Oryzias latipes: one gene and its partner. The protein of the gene in region 1 interacts with the protein of each later gene in a biochemical or structural test. Links are inferred from orthologs where the notes say so. Each region holds a gene or a part of one and is shown in the gene's direction. Other genes may lie near its edges.

What was found. The genes of interacting proteins can lie anywhere in the genome.
Region 2: the proteins of rab11a (region 1) and rab11 family-interacting protein 1 form a complex in vitro, tested with the Homo sapiens proteins (2 studies listed by BioGRID, with this or other methods). The link is inferred for Oryzias latipes from reciprocal best matches to the Homo sapiens genes RAB11A and RAB11FIP1.

The regions. Positions count from the first base shown.
Region 1 is NC_019861.2:431,483-435,233, forward strand, and holds the start of rab11a (ras-related protein Rab-11A), read left to right. Parts: upstream 1-1,227; 5' UTR 1,228-1,389; coding exon 1,390-1,429; intron 1,430-3,751. UniProt on the Homo sapiens protein: The small GTPases Rab are key regulators of intracellular membrane trafficking, from the formation of transport vesicles to their fusion with membranes.
Region 2 is NC_019867.2:17,228,861-17,232,511, reverse strand, and holds part of rab11 family-interacting protein 1, read left to right. Parts: coding exon 1-42; intron 43-178; coding exon 179-1,103; intron 1,104-2,228; coding exon 2,229-3,651. UniProt on the Homo sapiens protein: A Rab11 effector protein involved in the endosomal recycling process. Also involved in controlling membrane trafficking along the phagocytic pathway and in phagocytosis. Interaction with RAB14 may function in the process of neurite formation.

The DNA.
Region 1 (3,751 bases):
AACAGCCGCCGACACAAAGTGCTGAACACGAGAAAAAGAAGAAAACAAACACTAAAACATCTTAAAACACAAGATTAAAAATAGAGAGATAAAACAATAAAAACCAGTACAGCAACACAGCAATAACAGAAGTCTCATGTCATATTAAAAGCCAGAGCATAAAAATGGGTTTTCAGGCGTGTTTTAAAAATGGACAGTGATGGAGCTTCTCTTACTGACAGTGGCAGAGAGTTCCAAAGCTTTGGAGCAGCAACAGAAAAAGCTCTGTCCCCTCTGAGCTTCATCTGGACCTCGGTACCTCCAGAAGCAGCTGATCAGCTGATCGGAGGCACCAGGCCGGCGAATAGGGAGAGAGAAGTTCAGAGAGGTACAGCGGGGCAAGATCATGTAAAGATTTAAAAACAAATAAAAGAATCTTAAAGTGAACTCTAAAATTCACAGGATGCCAGTGGAGCGAAGCTAAAATTGGCGTGATGTGGTCTCTCTTACGTCCTCCAACCAGAAGACGGGCAGCTGCATTTTGAACACGTTGGAGACGTGAGAGAGACGACTGGCTGAGTCCAACATACAGAGAATTACAGTAATCCAGCCGGGACGTGATGAACGCCTGGATTACTGTTTCAAAATGTGCAGCTGTTAAAAAAGGTTTTACCTTGGCAAGTTGGCGAAGATGAAAGAAGCTTGACTTCACCAACAATAGTTGCCATTGGAGATACCAAGCCCTACAAGGACCAAAGAGCAGAGAGATGTTAGTTCAGTCACTTGTGTTTTTGCTGTTTTTCTTAAAAAGGATCAATCAACAATACCTTCAAAGTAAATCAATGCAATATGATTTATTACAACAGAAAAATCATTTACTTATTGTCTTTGGTTCTTTTGTGCTTCCTACATTTTGATTGTAAACAGTCAATTATATCTCTACTTTTGATGCTGTGAGATGGAATTATTGTCTGCATTTTTCCAATGGATTTCCCAAGTTATCCCTTGCGAGGAGATCCAGTACTAAAGGAAGCACTTCACCTCCTTGTCTTTTTATTTTGCAGAATTAAAAATATTTTTTTCCTTCTTAGACACAGTAATTTATCTCAGAAAGGATCCTTCCTTAAAAAACAACAACAAAAAAGATTTAAAAAACCCCAAACAAATTAAAACAAACAAACAAATGAACCAGACAAATAAACAAACAAACAGCAGTTCCCTGTACCGCCGCCAGGCGTCACCTTTCCCAGGAAGGGGGCGCTGCTTGAAGGAAGAAGAACTTGCGGAAGTTGATCTTCTCCTTCAGTTCCTGACGGAAAAGTAAAAAAGAAAACAAAAAATAACCCAAAAAGAAAGACAGAAACGCATTTAGTCTTTAAGATAACTGCAGTTCGGATTAACGCGAGGACGATGGGCACCAGGGATGACGAATACGACTATTTATTCAAAGGTGAGGTGCGTTTGTTTCGTTTAGCGGTCGGGCTAACGGCCCGGGGATCAGCTGACAGGCTAACGGAACCGAACTCATGCTTCGTGCCGCCACAGGCCCTTTCGGGCTTCCCGGGGGGGTTCGGCGCGCATGCCGCCTGTGATGCGGCCTCCACCCAGCGCCGGGGAGGCGGCTCTTTGTCTGCCGAGGAGTACTAGCTAAGGTTAGCCGGTGTTAGCCCCCGGTGCTAGCCCGCTGACCGGAGGCGCGCGGGACACACCTAACCGTTATCGCGTTTGATCCAAATGGGGCCGGTACCGAGTGTGTTAGTGTACTGACGGGTCCAGCTCGTCCGTCATTGAACTTGAATCAATCTGTCTGTCATTTATTCAGACAGTGTAAAACCAAAGTCAATAGTATATTTTTGAAGGCTACTATTATCTTTTGCTTTAGTTTTCCACAAAAATATAAAAGCAGTAAAGCGGCTGTTGTTGTTGTGATGCTGGTCGGCCGGTAGAATACATGAAGGTGGAAAGATGTTCGATTCCCTGTAATCTTCCATGGTTGGACACGGCATCCAGCTGTTTAAAGGAAATCCTTCAATCAAAAAGTAATTATTGTGTAACTTATTACTAGTAGAGCAAGGAATTATTAATTAATATTGTGACATTTTACCCATTAGTTATTGATTTACCACAGACTCTACCCAAAGGTAATGATGACAGCAGCACAAGGCAATTATAGATGAAAAATTCCACTTAAAACTTTGATTTTCATGTTTTTATGTGTAATATTTTAGTCGGACTTGTTTACTAAATTGAATTTCCTGTTGGGCTTCTTTTGGCACACATATGTGTGTGTGTGTGTAGTTTCTGTGTCCTGGTAAACGTCTGTCATTAGTGTTTTTGATTTTAGTCTTTCAAAAGCATATTGTTCTCCGGTTCTGCTTCTCTCAAACTAGATAAGCTACACTTTCATTTTTATCAAATGAAGTTCAAAAATCAACACTATTAAACCATCCAAGTGTGAAACAGGTTGTGGTCTGCAAGTCTTGCAAAGAAAGTGACATAAAAGTCAACAAAAGGCATTTTGAGGCTGTAGTATTGTCAGGAAACAGGTCATTCTTTTACAAAATAACTGGTAATCTGTGAAGGATTACAGTTTGGAGGTAACTTTCATAACACGGGTCCAGTCCATGACGACCTGCCAGATATTCTGTTCTACTCCAGCCTTTGACTTTGGAGCTTTTGGTAGATCCAGGGGCTTCAAAGCCGGCCTCTGATTGGGCGTTCCATAAAACGGATGTGCAGTATTTGGACTGAACAGAAATGTTATTGCTGACGAGACGACACTTCGCATCACAACATCCCAGATGTCAGCCATGTTTAGTTAAAGGAGATGAAGTTTGAACCATCAGCCTCCTTGGCTGCTAAATGAATAGAAAGTTTTCCATTTATTTACACTGGAAAATGAAAAACACCTTTCGGTATTCCTTGTATACGTGTTCTTTGGTTTTATTCAGTATTTTAATTTTTAAGATCATGTGTGGGGTTACTTGTTGGGCTTTTGGGGGAAAGAGGGTTGGAATTATTTTGACATGAATGTGCTTGTTTAATTCTTTGTCTTGGTGTCCAGCACTGTGAGCATGACGGCGCTACGAATGAAGCCTGACGGGCTGACGGGGCGATGGCGGCTCAACTGTCTGTTTCATTCCCGTCTGCTGACATCCTTCCAGGATGAAAATGGAAACGTCGTTTTGAATGAGGCAGCGAGTAAATGATTGTTGGAGGTCTTTACTGTAGTCGTAACGTAGCTCTGAAGCTCTGCTGACCGTAAATGTAAATGTAGCAGCAGAAGTGGGCAGATAGCTTCTGACCTCCCTGATGGTGTTTCTGGCTGAAAACAACCAAAACCCAGAGAATTCTGAACTGTTCTGCTGGAACAGAAACGGTCAGTAATTGTAACCTTAGCACCAGGGGAGTGACTGCAGCGTTAAAACTTCAGGAGAACCAGAGATATTGAAGAGACTGGATAATGAGGAGGTGTTAAGCTGACCTCTGCCCTGGCAGCAGGACCAGCTTCAGTTCACCTGCACGAACCTGCAGTTTGTGCAGAATTCTGGGCTTTATTGCAGTCAGTCAGGTTTGGCCCAGTCTTTAAAGTTGGGTTAGCCTGTTTGTTTTAAGAGCTGCTTATGAGGCCAGACGGGCGTTTCTTTGGTGATGTCAGAGAAGTGGACTGAATTTAAAGAGTAACTATCTAAAGTGACCAAAGGTCTATGGTTGAGGGCCTGCAGTGATACTGGAGCTGTCCACAAACTTGTCTGTTTGTAACTATAGAAAA
Region 2 (3,651 bases), on another chromosome or scaffold:
GCGGCAGCCGCTCTTCTGGCCTCAATGTAGATTCTCCTGAAGGTATTTTCATCCTTGTGTTTTTTGGCGTGTTCCGTACACTAACGGCTCTGACTTTTATCTGCTCTGCTGTTTGAGTTAAGAAAATGTTGTTTTGTATTTCGACAATGACGGCCTTTCTCTACCTTCCCTGCCACAGGTAAAAAGAAATTCAAATTTCTGGGACACAAGCGATCAGGAAGCTCTGACAGTAAAACGTCTCTTGGTCCTTTTTCTGTTCTGGGCCGCTCCAAGCAGAACATAAACGACCAAAACAACTTGTGCATAAATGGCAACCACGTGTACACTGAGGAATCAAAGACCAAGAGTGGGTCTACGCTGAGTCTGAACAGCTCTGGCAAAGGCTCCCTGGAGGACATCCGCAAAAACACATCTGACATTCCTGCAGAATCCTCCAAAACTATAAACGTCCCTGCATTCAAATCTGAACCAATCAATAAAGTTTCATTAGAGCAACAGCGCCACCAAGAGGCAGAAGAAAGAAGGCAGGCAGAAGAGAAGCGTCTTGCTGAGGTGAGAAGACTGGAGCAAGAGGAGAAATACAGGGCAGAGGCCAAGAAACTCCAGGAGGAAGAGCAGCGCAAGCAGCAGGAAGAGCAGGAGAGGAGACGCCGTGTCATTGAAGATGAAGCAAGGAGGAAGAAACAAAATGAGGAGGAGAGGAGAAGAGAAGAAGAGCGAAAAGTGCTGGAAGCTGCTGAAAATCAAAGGCTTGAAGACGAGCGTGGAAGAGCAGAGGAGCGCAAACGCCAAGAGGAGGCCTCCATGAGCGATAGGCTGACGTCTTTGTTCGGGATGATCCGAAAGAAAGAGGAGAAAAAGGAAGATGTACAACAGCAAGCTCCTGTGGAGCAGCACCCCACCCCGGCAACTCGCACCAACTCAGGAGCACCCACTCAGTCCGTGTCCCATCACTCCACTAACCCATTTGAAGACACCTCTGGTCCTTCAACTGTCGACAGTGAAAGTTCAGCCGCTAACCAAAAGTTCAACCGCAACCCACAAGCCCCCTCTGCTACAGTTTTTCTCAGCCGGACTGCTAAAGTGTCAGCCGTCAAACCCAGGTATGTCTTTGTCTCCTCTGAATACTCCTACATGATACACTCAGCAGACACTTTAATCCCAAAAGTAAAGGACAAGATTCAAACTCCAGTGTTTTAAGAAACTGCAGCACAGACATGCAATTACAAAGTGGTTAGGCAGCACAATAACTAAATAAACCATTAGTTTCAGTTACAGCTGACAGAACAAACCATGTTGACGTCTGTTAGTGCAGACGGTGGTTTCTCTGCTCTGTACTGTTGTGGAACCACAACTGAAACCAGTCTGGAGTTCCTTTAGCACATTATACACAAATGTATGCATCTGAACAAAATCTGTCAGTTTTGTGACACTGACATTCGGTTTGGTTTACTTCAGCTGGTTTTTCTTGGTCTGTTTTCTCTAACATTACAAAGGTTTCCTCTGGAGGAAACAGTAGTAACCCACTACCACAAATCTCCTACTACGAATTTACTCTGAACATTGCCCTTTTGCATTATTTGTCTAAGCTTCTTGTCAAAACCATCTGCAAAAACAAAAGACATTTCTCAGCTATTTCATGTTTGGTTTTTTGCTCTCCTGCAATGACTCTGCCATTTGGCAGTCTCTGCATTTTTTAGCTTTTTTACTTTCTCACATGTCGGCAGACCTGTGCGACCTGTTTGGTTAGATGCTGCTGAAAACCTGGGCGCGTCTGGGTAAATGCTGTGGAACAAGTTGTTGGCTTAACAGAGCTCGCACAGACTGAAACACAGTGTTGGTGTGTGTGGATCTTCAGCGTGGCTACCTTTTTAAAAATATATATTTTTTTTCTTTTTTGTGGATTTGTCTGAGTTCTAACTTCTGTTATGATGGTAAGGTTGTTCTTGTTATCAATGTCTCTGTTCCCATCAGTAGAAATGTAAAACAAGAAGAGATGAGAATTTGCTAGAAAATAAAAGGATTTGATCAGAATCTAGTTCTGTTGCATAACTGATTTATTTTTTACTCTTTTTGTAAAGGAAACTATTTCAAATAGTGTTTTAATAGTTATATATTGGCTAAAAAATGGACATAGTTTACACAGTTAGATTGGTGATTGGGTTTTATGTTGTGAAGTGACTGTGGTCACACTGACCTTTAGGCCTTTTGTTTTCGCTTCTTGGCAGACTCTCTCAAAGTTCGGAGTCTGAAACCCCTGACTGTCAATCTCCGGTTCAGCTAGACTCCTTCTCAGTCAGGTCTGAGTCCACTTTCACTAGAGTCCCAGCAGAGTCCTCTGAGGCTTTCTCCAATCTACACCTACTGTTGGCTCCACCAAACAGGAGCCCAAGCCGGCCTGGTTCTCCCCGTGGCAGTACAGAGGATTTGTCATCTGTTGAATTGGGGAGATCATCATCATCTGCTATGGCAGACCAAAGGAGAAAAGCCATCCTACCACCCTCATATTCTGGACATAGGACCCCAACTGAGGAAAGTTTGGCTCCTGTCAAAAATCCAGTGTATGTAGAAGAAGATGGACCTCCACGAGGAAATAAGTTGTCTTTACCACTTCCTGATTATGAAAGCCTCTTTCCTCAGAGAAGACATGGAGTACAAGGGCAAACTCGTTGGGATCATATAGTTGCTGAGGTCAACCAGAAACAAAGGGACAGGGGACCTGAACTTGTGGGTCCTGAAATGAGTGTTGATGGGCCAGAAGAATATGCATCAAGTCTTAAATCCCACATGCCACAGGAGACTCCTGCTGAGAAGAAGCCTACGACGAAACCGGTGTCGTCAAAAAAAGCGGCCGCTCCTGCTCCACCAAAACAAGCATCTTCTGGTGTAGACTTCAGCCAGAAACACAGACAGAATGTCACCCCCCAGTCTGTAACGAGACATAGTCCATCTGTAGTCCCACCATTTAGAAAAACGGGCTCCCCCAGCAACAGAATGTTCAGAGAGGGAGATGGCAATGTGGCAAAAGCATCAACCGAAGGCGCACCTTCACACCGACCACAGAGTCAGAAGACTTTTGATCCAACACCAGCAGCTGACCAAAGGTCTGTGCAAGTTGCTTTGGACAAACAACCACCCACAGCTAAACCCAGACAAAGGGTTGGTGCCAAAGAGCCTGCACAGCAGGAGCCATCTGCTGTGAGCAGTAGCATCCAAACATTGTCTAGTGTGAGCAAAACGGACAACAAAACAACGAAAAACATTGCAGAGTTGGATCAGCTTCCTTATACGGAGCATAAGTCCAAAGATGGACCGGGACACCTAAAGCAGAACCAAGAAGATGATGGCCTGTTCACTGGCAGGCAGGAAAAACGGCAGCAGAAATCCGAGGAACTACTGATGAGAAAAGATTATTTAAAAGATTTTAGCATTGAAAATCCTGCTGATCATGTTGCCCTAAATGATTGTGATTCAGAAAAGACGAGTGAGAGCAGGAAAGAGGAGGAACAAATGCCACAAAGTCCCTCTTTTCAACGAAAAAACTCACAAAGAGCAAAGAAGAATCTTCCACTGAGAAGTCTCACAGACGACAAAACTTTCATGTCTCAGCAAGAATCAGCATCTAATGAGATGCCAGACTTGCCCTCAGGA